3 linked regions of the Saccharomyces cerevisiae S288C genome follow. The gene in region 1 interacts genetically with each later gene. Each region holds a gene or a part of one and is shown in the gene's direction. Other genes may lie near its edges.

Evidence for each region.
Region 2: mutations in PER1 (region 1) and ERG4 together harm fitness more than expected from each alone (negative genetic interaction), as found in Saccharomyces cerevisiae (3 studies listed by BioGRID).
Region 3: mutations in PER1 (region 1) and ALG5 together harm fitness more than expected from each alone (negative genetic interaction), as found in Saccharomyces cerevisiae (3 studies listed by BioGRID).

What each region holds. Positions count from the first base shown.
Region 1 is NC_001135.5:204,359-212,207, reverse strand, and holds PER1 (Per1p), read left to right. Parts: upstream 1-4,257; coding exon 4,258-5,331; downstream 5,332-7,849. Other genes in the region: ARE1 (sterol acyltransferase), read right to left, coding at 1-279; BUD23 (18S rRNA (guanine1575-N7)-methyltransferase), read left to right, coding at 663-1,490; mitochondrial 54S ribosomal protein bL19m IMG1, read left to right, coding at 1,785-2,294; RRT12 (Rrt12p), read left to right, coding at 2,598-4,073; YCR043C (uncharacterized protein), read left to right, coding at 5,564-5,947; transcription initiation factor TFIID subunit TAF2, read left to right, coding at 6,811-7,849. UniProt on the Saccharomyces cerevisiae protein: Involved in the lipid remodeling steps of GPI-anchor maturation. Lipid remodeling steps consist in the generation of 2 saturated fatty chains at the sn-2 position of GPI-anchors proteins.
Region 2 is NC_001139.9:469,766-475,457, forward strand, and holds ERG4 (delta(24(24(1)))-sterol reductase), read left to right. Parts: upstream 1-3,089; coding exon 3,090-4,511; downstream 4,512-5,692. Other genes in the region: drug-responsive transcription factor PDR1, read right to left, coding at 1-2,533; SCL1 (proteasome core particle subunit alpha 1), read right to left, coding at 4,724-5,482. UniProt on the Saccharomyces cerevisiae protein: C-24(28) sterol reductase; part of the third module of ergosterol biosynthesis pathway that includes the late steps of the pathway. ERG4 Catalyzes the last step of ergosterol biosynthesis by converting ergosta-5,7,22,24(28)-tetraen-3beta-ol into ergosterol.
Region 3 is NC_001148.4:118,982-124,403, reverse strand, and holds ALG5 (dolichyl-phosphate beta-glucosyltransferase), read left to right. Parts: upstream 1-3,236; coding exon 3,237-4,241; downstream 4,242-5,422. Other genes in the region: NEW1 (New1p), read right to left, coding at 1-2,637; CET1 (polynucleotide 5'-phosphatase), read right to left, coding at 4,373-5,422. UniProt on the Saccharomyces cerevisiae protein: Endoplasmic reticulum membrane-bound UDP-glucose:dolichyl-phosphate glucosyltransferase involved in protein N-linked glycosylation.

The sequences.
Region 1 (7,849 bases):
GTGTGAAAGGTACTTTTGCATGTGGGCGTCCACAGGGTACTCCTCCTCCTGCTCCTGCTTCCCTGCCACACGTTCCGCCTCAGTCGACTCCACTCCTTCAGTCGACTCCACTGGCTCCACCAGCGACGTGGTAGACGACCGTGGCGAAACCTCCATGGACTCCTGTGGCAGGATCACGTTATCGTACGTGACCGAATGCCGTTTGTTGGCTTCTGCGGAATTGAGTCTGCGGATCTTAAGAAACTCTTCGTCTTGCAACAAATCCTTAGTCTCCGTCATTCTTGCAATCTGTTTTGGCGCTCTTGCTGCAAGCCGTGCTGAACAACCACCTGCGTGAGTGTGCCAATGGCGCCCCTTTCCTCCACCACGCTCGTCCTTCTTATATCATCCGCATGTTGCCAGGGTCTGCTGGGTGCTATTGTTCGCTAAACGAGTCCAACCACGGCCGGGTATTTGATGGCCAAGCCAGATTTTTTTTTTTTTTTCACTCTACACCATCTCACATTTTTCAATTTTATCGATAAAAAGAAGAGATGAGCAGCACATACATAGTGTGATAAAGAGGAAAAAAGCAGAAGAAGCAGAAGAAGAAGAGCATAGTAAAAAAGTAGTGCTAAAAAGGTGCGGTACGGAAACACAGGAAATATATCAGAGAAGAAATAATGTCACGTCCTGAGGAGTTGGCACCACCGGAGATTTTCTATAATGATAGCGAAGCACACAAGTACACGGGTTCGACCAGAGTGCAGCATATCCAGGCGAAGATGACGCTGAGGGCGTTGGAGCTTTTGAATCTGCAGCCGTGCAGTTTCATTCTGGATATCGGGTGCGGGTCCGGACTGTCTGGGGAGATTTTGACGCAGGAGGGAGACCATGTGTGGTGTGGTTTGGATATATCGCCCAGCATGCTTGCGACCGGTCTTAGTAGAGAGCTGGAGGGCGACTTGATGTTGCAGGATATGGGCACCGGGATACCGTTCCGGGCGGGCTCGTTTGACGCGGCTATTAGTATCAGTGCGATCCAATGGCTGTGCAATGCGGACACTTCATACAACGATCCTAAACAGCGGTTGATGAGGTTTTTCAACACATTGTATGCTGCACTGAAGAAGGGAGGGAAATTTGTGGCCCAGTTCTACCCGAAAAACGACGACCAGGTGGACGACATACTGCAGTCTGCCAAGGTGGCAGGGTTCAGTGGCGGGCTTGTGGTGGACGACCCAGAGTCTAAAAAGAATAAGAAGTACTACCTTGTGTTGAGCAGTGGGGCCCCACCGCAGGGGGAGGAGCAGGTGAATTTGGACGGTGTGACCATGGACGAGGAGAACGTCAACTTGAAGAAACAACTGCGCCAGCGCTTGAAGGGAGGCAAAGACAAGGAGTCTGCCAAGAGTTTCATTCTAAGAAAGAAGGAGCTCATGAAAAGACGTGGGAGGAAAGTTGCGAAGGACTCCAAGTTCACCGGGAGGAAAAGAAGACACAGGTTCTAGAAGAAACACACATCCTCACACGCATATTCTTTTGTATACTATAAAAATACACACTTATACATTTCCCTCTGTCTCTGTCTCCTTCTACATGTATACTTGTATATGTATACTTGTATATATACACTTATATCTGTATGTGAGTGGTCAATGGCTCCGCGCACTTTTATGTAGTGATGTATTTTCCTTTTTTTCTTGGTTTTCAATTTTGGTGCTTTGGAACTCCCAGTAAAGAAGAAGAAGAAGAATCGAGTCTTCCCTCTGAGCAGCTGCTGAAAGGGAGAGAGAACCATAGCGATGTGGAGCAGGAACGTCAGATTGCTTGGATCATGGACAAGGTCCTACATGGTCCCCGCCACCAAGAGAAAAACCATCCCCGTGTACCCACCTGTGCAGCGCATAGCTTCGTCGCAGATTATGAAGCAGGTGGCCCTCTCAGAAATAGAGTCTCTGGATCCCGGGGCCGTTAAGAGGAAGCTCATCAGTAAAAAGAACAAGGACCGCTTGAAGGCAGGCGACGTGGTCCGGATTGTGTACGACTCGTCCAAGTGCTCGTACGACACCTTTGTTGGCTACATCCTTTCCATAGACCGCAAACAACTGGTGCAAGACGCCTCGTTGCTGTTGCGGAACCAGATAGCCAAGACGGCCGTCGAGATTAGAGTGCCATTGTTTTCGCCGCTGATCGAGAGAATCGACTTGCTAACCCCCCACGTCTCGAGCAGACAAAGAAACAAACACTACTACATCAGAGGTACAAGGTTGGATGTCGGCGACCTCGAGGCAGGTCTAAGAAGAAAGAAATAGGCTAGGCGCGGGTTCTGTGGCCACCCATCTCCTGTATATAAGAAAAATAGTGCGTGTATAAAATCTACGTATACTAACTATGGGTAAAGTAAACCTTTTTGTACTGTTTTCTTTTTTTTTTTTTTGGTTTCCCGTAGTGATGACGTACGTGTATAGAGAATTGAAGCGAAAATAAAAAAAACGACACAAAATATTGTTCTCATTGGCTTTTTTATTTTCTATTTTACACAGCATATAGAGGTATACTCAAGTGCTAGACATCCTCTAACATCCGCCAAGAAAAACAGCAAAAAAACACTGGTCATGAAGCCACAGTGCATACTCATCTCTTTGCTGGTCAACCTCGCATACGCAGAGGAGTATTTGGTGAGGTTCAAAAATCCCACAGCATTCCAACAATTCACTTCGAATTCCAACAGGTCATGGAGACAGTTCATCGACAACAAAATTGAGAAGAAATTCTCCATCGGATCCTTCCGCGGCGTGACCATGAACCTGTCCAAGAACTTAGTGAACAAGCTGAAGAAAAGCCCACTGGTGGCTGATATTGTGCCCAACTTCAGGTTCGAAGCTTTTGAAGGCGACAGTGTAAATAGCGCCGAGTCGAGTTATACGTTTAACGCTACCGCCAAATACTCGTACGAAGACGTCGAGGAAGAGCAAAATATAACGTATCAACCAGACGCACCCCGTCACTTGGCCCGGATTTCCCGCCACTACCAACTCCCATTCGACGTTGGGGACAAGGACCGCTACAAAAGCTGGTTCAATTACTACTATGAACACGACTATCAAGGTCAAGACGTCAACGCCTATATCATGGATACGGGTATCTTCGCGGACCATCCGGAATTCGAAGACAGAGTCATCCAGGGGATTGACTTGACCAAAGAAGGGTTTGGCGACCAGAATGGCCACGGAACGCACGTGGCGGGACTCGTAGGTTCCAAAACGTATGGAGCGGCAAAGAGGGTCAATCTTGTGGAGGTCAAAGTCTTGGGCAAAGACGGGTCTGGCGAGGCCAGTAACGTTCTTAGTGGTCTGGAGTTCATCGTGGAACATTGCACAAAGGTCAGTCGCCCACAGGGTAAAAAATGCGTGGCCAATCTAAGTCTAGGGAGTTTCAGGAGCCCCATAATCAACATGGCAGTGGAGGGGGCCATTGAAGAAGGTATTGTATTTGTTGCCGCGGCGGGGAACTTCAATTTAGACGCCTACTGGGCCTCACCTGCGTCTGCAGAAAACGTTATCACCGTAGGGGCCTTTGATGACCACATTGACACGATTGCCAAGTTCAGCAATTGGGGGCCCTGTGTAAACATCTTTGCCCCAGGCGTGGAAATTGAGTCGCTATCTCATCTGAACTACAACGACACTTTAATTTTGTCAGGTACATCTATGTCGACGCCCATTGTCACCGGAGTTGCAGCGATCCTACTCTCGAAGGGAATTGAGCCTGAAATGATAGCACAGGAGATTGAGTATTTGTCCACGCGTAATGTTTTCCATAGAAGAACGTTGTTTTTCAAGCCTTCTACGCCAAACCAGATTCTTTACAACGGCGTCGATAAACTGGACGATCCATATGACGACGAAACGTTCCCTCGATTGAACATAGAGGCAATTGCTAAGGAACTGGAGGAGTACAATGCCACTTTACAAACTCCTATGTCTGAGAATCTTCAATCTGGTTCAAAACTGTGGGGTTGGAATAACGATGTCACACTACCTCTTGGTGAGATTCGATTGAAGAGGCGTGATTTTATGAAAAATTTGTAGTGTTTTTCTCTTTCTCTCATAAATAAATTATTGCATAATGTCATGTCAACATTAGTTTTTTCGCTCTTCTCTTGCGTATTCTTGTACTTTTCATTTTTCATTTTTCATAAAGCGAATAAAAGAGCAACCTAAGGTGTGAAACCATACCCTTCGGGAGAAAAGAAACAGAAGTGTGGCAAGAAATATGAGGTTAGCTGTGGTTGTGACCCTACTTGTTCACTGTTTCCTAGTGACATGCTCTCCAGGAGATAATTTAGATGAGTTTATAGACTGTACGTATGCGTGCGAGTATAACAGAAGATGTCCGAATTCCCAAATAAACTACATTGACCCTGAAACCAACATGTTTCATGATATTGAGTTTTTCGATACCCCGCCTTTGTACTCTAAGTTATTGTTCTGGGATTGTATCTCAGATTGTGATTACCAATGTCAGCACATCATTACGCGCTGGAGAATTGACGAAGAGGAAGAAATATACCAATTCCATGGGAAATGGCCATTTTTGAGAGTATTGGGGACTCAGGAATTCTTCTCGACGATATTCAGTATAGGTAACTTTATTCCACATTATAAGGGATTTGTAAAGTTTTCTAGAATCATACGCGAAGAGGGAGATAGGAGGAGAAAAAACAGCAGAAGTATACTGATTTGGAACTACCTTTACGTTACTGTGGCGGGAATGTTGGCTTGGACAGCAAGCTCGGTCTTTCACTGTCGTGATTTGATCATAACGGAGAAGCTAGATTACTTTTTCGCAGGTTTAACTGTCCTAACAGGGTTTCATGCAATATTTGCAAGAATGACTTCCATGTTCCTGTACCCCAAGATAGCACAAGCGTTCACTGCGTCAGTTGCGGCAATCTTTGCCCTGCACATCTTGAGACTCTATGTTGACTGGTCGTACACATACAACATGAGATTCAACATTTTTTTCGGTGTTTTACAGTATATTTTATTGATAATGTTATCATGCCAAAACTACCATGCTCTGCAAAAGCAAAAGCTAATGGGCGAATTCAAGAAAACCGCGTACTCCAGCTTCAAGCGGCAAATCTTCAAACTGTGTGTCATTCCAATTCTTCTTGTGATTGTAACCACAATGGCCATGTCATTGGAACTGTTTGACTTTTTTAGTTACGAATGGCAGATTGATGCCCATGCGCTATGGCATCTGTGCACAATATGGCCCTCGTGGGTATTGTACGACTTTTTCCTCGAGGATTATGCCTATTGGGGTAATAGACAATTGTACTAAATATCTTAATTCACCTGTTTACTATCATGAATAATAGTTATATATGTATTTTTTTTTGTTTATTTTTGATTTTCTTTTACCGTTATCACATTCTGTTTATTTTTCACTTTTTTTTCGCTCTTTCTGTATGTATAGAACTAAATGCAAAAGAATATTTGTGCCAAGATAAGGCCAAGAAATTTTTGGGGCAACAGTAGGCAGTGAAAGCGCTCTTAACGTACTTTGGCAAAGGATGATCCCAGCTCCACTTGATGCTTCCTTATTGAGAGAACATGCATTCCAAGGAACTAATGATCTAAGCACAGTTTTGAGTCCAAGTACGTTTACCGATGAAGGTGGATATAAACCTGTATTGAAATACGGACTCGGTTATTTCAATTATGGACTGGTTATAGACGATGAAGTGTATGATTATTCAGTGTGTGATATCATAAGGGGTCACGTTTACGATCATTTTTGGTGTTATTTCTGTTGTTTCATGATTTTGTTTACTATCTGGTTAATAAGTTTAAATTGGTGTCCCAGCAGCAAGAAAAGCAAGTTTGATTGGAGCAAGAAGAAGGACGACTTTAAGATGGAAGGAGGTGATTTAGAGTACCAACATGTAAAGATCTAAATCTACATCGTTCTCAGGACGACTTATTACTGCTGGTTTCGAAGGAATAACAATGCATTTTTTTATCCCACCATTTTCCTCGTTTATTACAAAAAGCAATGAAATAATATGTATATGTCTACATAGAGATATTATTATAGTAATAATGCATTTTCTATTTGATTTTAATTTAATTTATTTTATTTTTTTTGGATGTTTAAAGTTGAAAATAATAAAATGATTAACTATTGACAGAGGGGTAAGTGGGGTTGTTACCTTTTTCCTTTTGGTTAAAGGAATAAATGTTTTCTTATAACATAAAAAAAGCTATAGTTATATAAACAAGGATTGCGAATTCTTAGAAACATATTCCATGGTTATTTTTTTTATTTTTTACTGCATTCAATTATTTGAAGAAACTGTCCATCAAACATAAGTTTCTTGATAATGTGCTGTTTGTAGTGAACTAGAATTGTTATAATAATATGCTGCAATTTTTATCAGATTGCTTCAAAATCTGAGTGATAATTGTATTTTTTTTATTTATTTAATCCAAGAGTTATTCTAAAATCGCACTAAAATTAGTAAAAAAATCAAAAAAAAAAAAGCTGCAGACATCTAAAATGGTTGTGAATCATTCTTGCGGATATCGTGCTACAAAATCAGTCTTATTTAATTCAATAAAATACATAGAACTTTCAATATAGTGAATATTTTTGGTATTACCTTAAGTAACCGGGTAACACTTAAATACTTTTGCCGAATGGGGCAATTGGTAAATTGCGTAAGATGAAAACTATAGTAAAATGGAACGGATGTAAAAGTATTTTTTGATGAAGTTTTGGACAGTGAAGAGGTGACAACAGGATAAATAGGTGGACTTCATGATGTCCTTTTCCAAAAACGCCACTCCTAGAGCCATTGTTAGTGAATCTAGCACTTTGCATGAGATGAAGTTTAGAAATTTTAGAGTTGCCCATGAAAAAATCTCGTTGGATATAGATCTAGCTACTCACTGCATTACCGGTAGCGCTACTATAATAATCATTCCGTTGATCCAAAACCTAGAATATGTAACTTTTGATTGCAAGGAAATGACTATTAAAGATGTTCTGGTCGAAAATCGTCGATGTGATCAATTTATTCATGACGACCCACTTCAAACAAATTTGAATGGATTGACTTCACAAAATGTATTATACAGCGACAATTCCATTGAACAGTCACATTTTTTGAGATCTAAGTTTGCTAGCTTGAATGAATACCCAGAAACGGACTCTAAATCCCAGTTAACTATAAAAATACCATCTTCCATCAAAATATCTTTGGAGGACGCCAATGCATTAAGTAATTACACTCCGATTACTCCTTCAATTAAGACTACCCCTGGGTTTCAAGAATCTGTTTTCACTCCAATTACATTACAAATTGAATATGAAATCAGAAACCCAAAGTCGGGTATTAAATTCGATACTGTGTATGCTGACAAGCCCTGGTTATGGAACGTTTACACTTCAAATGGTGAGATTTGCAGTTCTGCATCATATTGGGTCCCATGTGTCGATTTGCTTGATGAAAAATCTACATGGGAGTTAGAATTCAGCGTACCGAGATTGGTTAAAAATATAGGTACTTCGAAATTAATCGGACAAAATGGAGAAGAGAGTGAAAAAGAGAAGGAGGATACGCCTGAGCACGATGAAGAGGAAGAGGGGAAGCCGGCAAGAGTTATCAAAGACGAAGATAAGGATTCTAACTTGAAAAATGACGAAGAAGGCAAAAATAGTAAAAGCAAAGATGCACAAGATAATGATGAAGAAGAAGAGGAAGGCGAAAGTGACGAAGAGGAAGAGGAAGGGGAAGAGGAAAGGCGGAATATTGAGGAAAGCAACAATCCGAGTTTGAGGGATGTGATTGTGTGTT
Region 2 (5,692 bases), on another chromosome or scaffold:
TCTCATCAATATATTTGGAGATAACATCGAGGTTGGTGCTAGAGGACTCTCCGTATGCCAAAAGCATGATACGAGTGACGATTGTCAGGAAAGAAAAAGCTCTTGTATAGTCTTTAAAGCTTTGGCTGTTGAAGACATGCTCATTGGTCTCATTTTCGGAAAAAATTTTTATATCCAAAAATCTTTTGAAGACTCTAATCATATTCACAACGTCATTTACTTTAATGAATTCGGCCACTGAGAATGCTTGTGATACCAAAATAATGCAACTGATAGAATAATGGGCGAACGAACGGTATACGGAATAATCGTTGTCAAAGTCTAATAAGATTTTGTTCATATCGGTCCATGATTTGTAAATCTTGTGAAGGTATATTTTCAAGTTTTCAATTAGTATTGAGGGCCTTCTGTGCACGCATAATCTGGCGACAATATTATCAGATTCGTTAACCATTCTGCAGAAATGGTGCTCGTAAAATAGAACAAATTTTGAAGCCATAATCTTATCCTCTCTTGAAACTTTGAGTTCAGTACTATCTTTAGAGAATGCAATATCGAACAATTTTCCAGTTTGCTCTTTGATAGCATCATATTTCATTTCTGTTTCGTTAAAAATCTCGAGTACCTCGAAGAGTAGTTTCTCTCTAACAACAGATGGTTTTGATGTATTCCTAATTGACGTGAATTTTTCATTGAATAAAACAGATGATGAGAAATGGCTGACTATTTGTAAGACAGCTAATTCGCCATAGTATTTTAAGTCGGATATGCACATGTTGTCAAAAGCTTCGCTCCTGCGAACTAAGTGGACGTTCTCGATAAAATCTCTATTATCCAAGAACCCAACATCTCGAAAATTCTTAGGTAATAAACAATTGATTTTGGAGTCATCAATGTTCGAAGGATAGCCAAGTTTAGAGGCTAAAGTTTTCTCGAAATAGAAAGCTTTCCACCAGAGATTTCTTCTTCTTTCAGCAAAGTTTTCATCAAGACCCACGTAAAATTCCCACCTTGATAAACCAACTCTTGAAACAAAATGAACTGCTACGTTCAAGACTTTTTCAAAACCGTATATTTCCGATAGCCAAAATAGCAGATCCAAAAAGTATAGAAGTTGCTCTAAATGCGTTATGTCGCATGTGAAGTCCACGTAGTTGTATAATGTAGAATTATAATAGCTGTAACATAAGGCGATTAGCGCCTCTCCAGCTTGACAATAATGGATGAATTCCTGCAAGACATCAATTGACTGCGTGTTTTTAGCCACGGAGGGGTTAGATGTGATTTCCATTAGGAAGTTCTGGTAGGAATTTTTATGCATATCCAACATCTTCAATAAAATGCCAAACATGCTGATATCATTATTCATTTCGCTTAGTAGCTCAGAATTACTTATTCCGGTTATATTTCTCACAAAGGGCTGCGGTAAGTGATTTATCACTAACGCAACATGCGATTTTGTGTGTGCTGTATTCGGGCTCCCTGCAGATGATATCGAAGATGGGGTTGAAGGTAAAAGATTCATTTTCTGTAGGTAGTTTTCCAGGGGATTAGCTATGGAGACACAGCCTTGGTTGATGTGATGAAAACAAACGTCGAAAAACCTTAACATGATGTATATGGTTTCCTTGGCGGTCCTGGGAAAAATCTCGCATTTGGATTTGGATCTATAATTTTGGAAACATTTACCAATACCTTGAAGTGACAAAAATTGGAAAGGAGAGTACAAACCAAAGATTTCGTCGATCAAAGGTTGACTAGAAGTATCTTGGTCCTTCTTATTGTTTGACCAAGCGGCATATCTTGTCAAATGTACCACATCACAGTATTTGTTTTTCATCAATTGAGTTTCTATTGATTTATTAGGGTAAAATTTCGTTGTTGCTAATTCTTTGGTCCTCACTTTGGGTTCCCATCGCTTAAGCAAGTCACTTATCTGAAGTTCAATGCTCTCGATGGCTGAGGTTACATGTGTACCTAAATGAGCCATCTCCTTCAAATTTTTCAGAGTGGTTTGTAGAGATGTCAAAGTTGCCTGTGATTCGCTATCGTCTTCATAAAAACCGTTTCTATTCACATCGTCGTCATTCTTCCCATCACTTCCGCTATTATCACCACTACTACGACCACCTAGCTTGAAATTCTCAAAAAATTTCGTTGGTTGTTCCACTGCGCATGGCCCGTCTGTACATCGCTGAGGATTAGAAAAAGAAGTCGAACTGGAATCTGTTTCCTCTTTGACTTGTACGGTTGTACCTTCCAAACTCGTCTTGTGAAGGTTTTTTATTCGAGCGCCACCTTGTCTAGTGCTGAACGTGCACTCACATGAATATATCTCACAGCTTGCGCAGGGAAACTTCCCATTACATTTTATCTTTCTTTTTCTACAGTTATCGCACGCTTTACTTACTTTCGACCTTGGCTTACGAATCTTGCCGCTGAAACCTGTAGAAAAGTTGCTGGAGTCCGCGGACGATTCTGTATCCGGACCCGTCTCAATATGTACACCGTTCTTAGGTGTCAAGCCTCGCATCTTCCAGTTTCTTGGATTCTTTTCTGTATATTCTTGGCTGAGATGAATAGTTAGCAAGTGATGTGCAAATTGTCTTTTTTTAGCCAAAACTCACTCCTGGTAATGTCTATATGGCCGCTATGGTCCTGCTATCATGCTATTGTTGACAATGAAAGAGTGGCTGATCATGTGTAATAGGCGAATAAGGTTGTTTTGAAGAGCTTTAATTAGCGCCTCTTATTGCCACTCATTAGGTCTTGAACAAGAAAAGAAACTCCATTTAGGGTATGCGTCTGTTTCCAACAAAGCCCTATTGGACCCTGAGAATGTAAATCAGGGCTCGTTTCTTCTCGTTTAATAACTAAACGAGACTCATTTCTTTTTCGTTCCTTGGCGCTATTTTCGTGCATCCCGTAATTGCCGGTATTACGCGATCGTTTGGCGTTACTATGGAAAAGCAGAATTATATATCCTCGAGGAAAAATTACCAAACAGTGGTAATAACGTAGGAATGTAGTTCAGTTATGTAGATAGGCAGATACGGATATTTACGTAGTGTACATAGATTAGCATCGCTATGGCAAAGGATAATAGTGAGAAGCTGCAGGTGCAGGGAGAGGAGAAAAAGTCCAAGCAACCGGTTAATTTCCTGCCTCAGGGTAAATGGCTGAAGCCAAATGAAATCGAATATGAGTTTGGTGGGACTACTGGTGTTATTGGTATGCTGATCGGGTTTCCACTGCTAATGTACTATATGTGGATTTGTGCGGAATTTTATCACGGTAAGGTTGCCCTACCCAAGGCTGGTGAATCGTGGATGCACTTTATCAAGCACCTATACCAGTTAGTCTTGGAGAACGGTATCCCAGAAAAGTATGACTGGACTATTTTCTTAACATTTTGGGTGTTTCAGATCATTTTCTACTATACGTTGCCCGGGATTTGGACAAAAGGTCAACCATTGTCTCATTTGAAGGGAAAACAATTGCCTTACTTTTGTAATGCCATGTGGACCTTGTATGTAACTACCACTTTGGTCTTGGTTTTGCACTTTACCAATCTTTTTAGATTGTATGTCATTATTGACCGTTTTGGGAGGATCATGACATGTGCCATTATTTCAGGGTTTGCCTTCTCCATCATATTGTACTTATGGACTTTATTTATCTCACATGACTATCATAGAATGACAGGAAACCATCTATATGATTTCTTCATGGGAGCTCCACTAAACCCTAGGTGGGGGATTTTGGACTTGAAGATGTTTTTCGAGGTTAGATTACCTTGGTTCACCCTTTACTTTATCACTTTGGGTGCCTGTTTGAAGCAGTGGGAGACTTACGGCTATGTGACACCACAATTGGGGGTTGTCATGTTAGCTCATTGGTTGTACGCGAACGCATGTGCTAAAGGTGAAGAATTGATTGTTCCAACCTGGGACATGGCTTACGAAAAGTTTGGATTTATGCTGATCTTCTGGAATATTGCCGGTGTCCCATACACTTACTGTCATTGTACGTTGTATTTGTACTACCATGACCCATCTGAATATCACTGGTCTACACTGTACAATGTTTCGCTGTACGTTGTTCTATTATGCGCCTACTACTTCTTTGACACGGCAAATGCTCAGAAAAATGCCTTCAGAAAGCAAATGTCTGGTGACAAGACAGGTAGGAAGACTTTCCCATTTTTGCCATACCAAATTTTGAAGAATCCAAAGTATATGGTTACCTCCAATGGATCGTACCTATTGATTGATGGTTGGTACACTTTGGCTAGAAAAATTCACTACACTGCCGATTGGACTCAATCTCTCGTTTGGGCCTTGTCTTGCGGGTTCAACTCGGTGTTCCCATGGTTTTTCCCAGTATTCTTCCTTGTTGTCCTGATTCACAGAGCCTTCAGAGACCAAGCAAAATGTAAGAGAAAGTACGGAAAAGATTGGGATGAGTATTGTAAACATTGCCCTTACGTCTTTATTCCTTATGTTTTCTAGTTATTTTCTTTTTCTATCCACTTCATTAACTTATTTTACAGTTTGTATATAAAAGTATTGATGTATTTACGCGACAAAAGGGCTTGAAAAGATTCGATTTTCTATTACTTGATCTACTTTTTCCTATAAAATAAATCCTAAATGAAACGTGTCCATACATATATTGAGTGTTGACGCGTGTGATTTCACATTATGTTGTGGCAGGAAGTATGTTAATCTTGTTCAGCAATTGCTACTAGCCTTTCTTCGATGTTCTCAGCACTCAAGGTAAAGAATTTGTCCTTTGTAGCGACACCGACTTCCAAGTCATTCTTTGAAAATTCGGTACCCAGTGCGTCAATCATATGAGTAATAGCAAATTCTACCACCTTCTCCCATGATTCTTCATTAATATGGTCGATTTTACTCTTTTTGAAATGGTTTTCTAAGTTTGTTGTGATCTCCTGTTGTTTTGGTCCTGTCGCAGTAGCTTTGTAGCCAACGTAATAACCTGCAGGGTCAGTTTTGTAAATGGAGGGACCCAATTCTTCATCTACCGAAACAAATGTGAGTATAACACCTAATGGTCTCATATATGCTCTTTGAGTATAGATTTGGGAAAGGTTAGCCATTCTCTTAGCCAATACATCGCATGGCATATCATAACCATATTTATAACGGAATTCTGCAGCCTCAGCCTTGGCTCTTAGGGCCGCATTTCTTGCATCCGGTATTGGTCCGTTCACTACCATACCAATTGTTCTTGAAATACAAAAAATATACGAAACAGTAGTTGGATCCAACAGTTTATCAGGGACCTTTTTCTGACTTATCACCACTGTACAATCTTTACCTCTGACCGCTAGTGAGTTTATGTTAGTTTGATTAGTCGCTTTAAAGGCATATTCTACTTGATATAAACGACCCTCGGGGGAAAAGATAGTGATGTGCCTGTCATAACCAGCAGCAGATGCAGCAGCAGCACCCGACATGATTGTAATATGTTTTTTTCGCTTTGCTTCGTCTCTGCCCTTATATGATTTAGCATGAAGATTATAATGAGTTAGCCATTTAACTTACTCTATCCTTACGGTGGCAAATTGGTGTGTGCCCTTCGTCTATTGTGATATCATAATTAAGGATCGCGATTACCATTATAAGAGGATGGGGAAAAGGAATGCCAAGGTAAATCCAGGAAAGTG
Region 3 (5,422 bases), on another chromosome or scaffold:
ACCAATACGTAAATTTGGATGTTTTTCCACTTTACCTTCATTTGGAACCAATTCACCAGTTAATAGCTTGATCAAAGTGGATTTACCAGCACCGTTAGGACCTAAACAAGCCACACGAGAAGACAGAGACAATGAACAGGAGACATGGCTTAAGGAAGGCTTTTGGGCACCTGGATAAGAGAAAGTTACATCAGTCATTTTAGCGACGGCTCTAGTGTTAGACTTAACACCTGTTAAAATACCTGGGGGTGGGAAACGCATTTGAGCATTAGAATCTGTTAAGGTATAGTAAGATTTAGCTTCAGGTTTCTGCTCAACAAATGCTGCCAAGTTACCTTTGTAGTAAGCCAATTTCTTGTTTTCATAATGGATGATGTCAGTACAGACTGTATCTAAGAAACCAGAGTCATGCGAAACAATCAATGAAGTAATATCAGTATGTTCCAGTAAGTATTCTTCTAACCATTTAACGTTCGAAACATCTAAATGATTGGTAGGTTCATCCAGCAATAAAATATCAGCTTTTTGTAACATAGCTCTTGCCAATTCCAACTTCATTTTCCAACCACCAGATAAAGATCCAACAGTTTGTGCTCTTCTCTCTTCATCAAAACCGACAGATTCTAAAGCGGCTGCAATTTCCTCACGAGAAGTAGATTGCAGTTCTTCATCTAAAGCAATGAAGGAAACCAAGTCTAAATCACCTTCTTCACCTTGCAATTTATGTTCGACGAAACAGGTGCGTAATGTATCCTTGTCAGGAAAACCATCCAATTGACCATTAGCAATTGCTCTCATTAAAGTAGACTTACCAGCACCATTTCTACCACACAAACCGTAACGATGACCCTTTAGGAGACGAAGATTTGTTTTGTTCAAAAGCATTCTTGAACCATAAGCTAAGGAGAAATCAGTGTTGACAATCTCAATACCTTCGTCCTCATCTGCCCTTTCCTTTTCTTGGTAGAATAAAGCTCTCAAGTTATGGATAAAGTCTTGTTTGACAAATTCTCTTTGTGAATCTGAACCACCAAAAACGGCGGTCAAAAAATCTTCAAGTCTTTTCCAGTCGTTCACATTAGAATCCACGGTCAAAATCTTGCTCATATACTTGATAACAGTTTCGTCATTCATGTAAGGCTTGACAAAACAGGAATCATCAGCTTTAATGTCCTTGAGGTGATCAAGTAAGAAATCCCTACCTTCTTCTAAAGTCAGTCTGCCTGAGAATTTGTTTTCCTTATCAGCTTCGTCATCTTCTTTTAGAACGTTAAGGGCCTTTTCAGCCAATTCACGAACTTCAGGTAAGGACGCAGTATCAACAACCTTTTGGATACCGGGTAGTAGTAGAGGGATGAAGCTTTCAATTTCATTACGATTATTCACCAATCTTGTCAAATTCTCCACGACAATAACGGTTTGTCTTAATTGCTCTTGAGATGATGACGATAGGTTTAAAGATCTGTTTAGAATAGGAACTAACAAAGATAGTGAAGGTTCCGTAACTTCAGCGACAAATGTAACACTGGATAACGATTTTACAGATTCAGGAACCTTAGATGGATCTTGCAGGGTGTCCACGATCAATTTATAACGAGGAGACAAATCTAAGTTATCCAAAATAGAAACGTAGTCCAATAAAGTTTTGTAACCTTGTTTGGCCAATTCAGGTTTGAAATCAGTTGCTACATCGGTTAAAACTGGAACTGCATCTTTGAAAGTAAGTTCCAATAAATCGTTCGCCGAATCTTCTCTTATTCTATCTACAACGCTTAGAGCGGCCATTTTAGCTTGCCATTTGGCACCAGATGATAAGTAATCCAAAATCGTAGGCAGTACAAAACAGGTTAAAGCCTCCATTGGAAAGCAATTCAACAAAGAATCAATGGCATGTTGCGCGGCACGTTTGACTGTATTCTCTTTATCTGAAATACAGTCAAGTGCGACATTGAAGAATGGTAGCAAGTATGCTTCCTGTGGTGGCTTTCCACTGAAAAATTGAGCAATGTTGGAAATTATTAGCATGGCAGATTCTCTAACTAATGATGGATTCTTAGGTTTGATGAATTTAGATAGAACATCGACGATTTTCCACTCTTCAATTTTCTCACCCGTACTGTTACCTTCTTTGCCAAATTCTTCAATGATTAGTTTGATTTGATTTTTGCAATCAGTGATACTTTGACATTCAGGTATCTTTGACAAAAATTGAGAGATGGGTGTTAACTCTAAGTTCGACAGCTTTTCATTCAAAGAGGTCAAAGATGTAGTAGAAGCAGATGGAGTTGGAGTTCCACTTTGGTTGGGCGTCACAGCCGATTGTTTGTAAGTAGATTTTTGATAGCCCTGGCCATTGTATTTATTATAGTTATTGTAGTTGTTATAATTGTTGTAGTTGTTGTAGTTGTTGTAATTGTTGTAATTACTGTTATACGATTGGTAACCACCTTGTTGGTAGTTGCCCCCCTGTTTCCAATTACGCTGTTGTTGGTAGCTACTTTTTTTGGAAGCGTTATTACTACCGGCATCAGCAGCAGGGTTTTTAAAATAACCACCGAAGGGAGAAGCGACTAGATTTGGGTCCTTTGGTTGGTCGTCAAGGAAAGAGTTTAGATCCTTAAACTTCTTTGGAGGCATCCTGAGTTGAATTAGCACTGATTGTCGTTGTATTTACAGTTTACAAGATATAAATTATGCACTATAGATCGACGCATATGTATTATCTTAAATAGGTTGCAATATATTATTATTTTTTAACATTTATTGCGATGCTGCTGAAAATTTTTTTTCCACCTTGAAACTTTTCTTTTTCCATTGAAAAATTAGATGTGGTGTTTGGGTTTATTCCATTTGATCTTGTAACTTCTATACTAGTCACAACTAACAAGTCCAAAGTCAAGTGTACATAGTTATCCTATTTTCACCGTTATCACTTCAGTACCTTTTAATTTATATATATTAATGCACATGGCTCTGTTGTATCTTTCGAAGCAGTGTATGCCATTTTTTTCATGAGAAAGCGAAATTTGGCGTATTCGAAAAAAAGTGTAAACAAGAAGAAAACGTGCCAATTTTCAAGGCTTTATCGCAATTAAAGTGGCACAAAGGACCATAGTCACTGTGGAAAGGTAGTGGTATCTAATTGGATGCTGTAAGGATAGATTAGGTGCTTTTGATAACGTAAGAAAGGGACAAAAACAGAGAGGCAGCCAAAAATTACACAAAGCACAACAAAAATGAGAGCGTTGAGATTCCTGATTGAGAACAGAAACACTGTCTTTTTTACGCTCTTAGTAGCCTTGGTGCTTTCACTGTATTTATTGGTCTATTTATTTTCGCATACACCAAGGCCGCCATATCCAGAGGAGCTCAAATACATAGCTATTGATGAAAAAGGTCATGAAGTTAGTCGTGCCTTACCTAACTTGAATGAACACCAAGATGACGAAGAAATATTTTTATCTGTTGTTATCCCAAGCTATAATGAGACAGGTAGAATTTTACTAATGTTGACAGACGCAATCAGCTTTTTAAAGGAAAAATATGGTTCCAGATGGGAGATTGTCATAGTGGATGATGGTTCCACAGATAATACCACACAATACTGTTTGAAAATTTGTAAAGAACAGTTCAAATTGAACTACGAACAATTCAGAATCATCAAGTTTTCTCAAAACAGAGGCAAAGGTGGCGCAGTGAGACAAGGTTTTTTACATATTAGAGGTAAGTATGGTCTTTTTGCCGATGCTGATGGTGCTAGTAAGTTCAGTGATGTAGAAAAACTAATAGATGCTATTAGCAAAATTGAAACGTCTAGTACAGATCTAAAAACGACTAAACCAGCAGTAGCAATTGGTTCCAGAGCACATATGGTAAATACCGAAGCCGTCATAAAGAGATCAATGATAAGAAACTGCTTGATGTACGGTTTCCATACCTTAGTTTTCATCTTCGGCATCAGGTCTATCAAAGACACACAATGTGGATTCAAATTGTTCAACAGAGCCGCTATATTGAAAATTTTTCCGTATTTGCATACAGAGGGTTGGATCTTTGACGTTGAAATTTTGATCTTAGCCATCAGAAAAAGAATCCAAATTGAGGAGATACCAATTTCCTGGCATGAGGTTGATGGCTCTAAGATGGCTTTAGCTATTGATAGTATCAAAATGGCGAAAGACTTGGTTATTATAAGAATGGCCTATTTATTAGGGATATATAGAGATAATAAGAAATGTTAGAGTAATTATTTTTATGTTATTATTATCATTATTATTATTATTACATAAGCTTTCATAACAGCATTTGAGTAAACAAAAAAAATTTCTCGCTCAAGGGCATTTGCTTATTTTTTTTTGAAATGATTCAAATATTACATGACTTTCTTTGAACCTTCAAAAATTTCATATGATAAAGACGATAACTTTCTTCTAATAATTGTACCATTATTCAGAAACGTTCTAATAAGAGATGCATATTCTTTACTATCGTTCGTTATGTTATCAAAGGCGTTTAACAGTGCAGGCGTGTTGATTTCTAGTTCCACTTCGTGAGTGGTCTCTGATTGTCTACTTTTTGAATTTTGGTTATGATTTTCGACTTTTGTAATATCAATTCTGGTACAGGAATCATTATGAATGTAACTAACACGGTCTTTCGTCCTTTCACTAATTGGGCTTTGAGATTTATATTTTTCTGGCGGATCGTTGTCAGGTACAGGTAATTCCAAGTTTAGGGAGATTTTAACGTCGTAACTATCTTTTGGTGAATATAATAGTAGTTGGGCTACATGTCTTTTCTCTATAAATTGTCCTACCCTCCCAGTCTTAATATCTGTACTCATTCTCAAAAACCTTGGTCTTTGCGTGGATAGTCCGACTCTATAGACGGAATCTCTTGTCTGGGATTCAATAATACTGAATTTACCTGTATTTTCAGTGACTTCGCTAATACCACGAATATATTTGCTCAACTCTTTGAACAAAGATGCATCAATATTAGGCGTTAGATGGGCATCAAGCTCAGTGAAAACACATTGTGAAGAAACTGGTGGATTTACACGATCTGGGCCTTTCGCATCAATAATAACACCAAATTTCATTTCTAACTCAATGAAGGATCTTAGTTCAGGAGCAATTGAGTATATTGTAGCATAAACCCAGTCCTGTACTGACTTTGTTAAGTCATCATCGGGAATAATGTTTAAAAAAGATGGGTCAATTTTGAGATCTTTCACATTTATACTTTGAAGAGCTTTGATAGTAGGTTTCCATTTTTGTGCCCAAATTGGAACATTCCTGTACTTACTGGGCTTGGAAGACGCAGATATTTCATTCAGAACCTCCAAATCTCTCTTGATATTATTCTTTTTTGATTGTAAAGTAGCTTTCTCTTCAAAAATATTATCTACAGCTGCATTCGC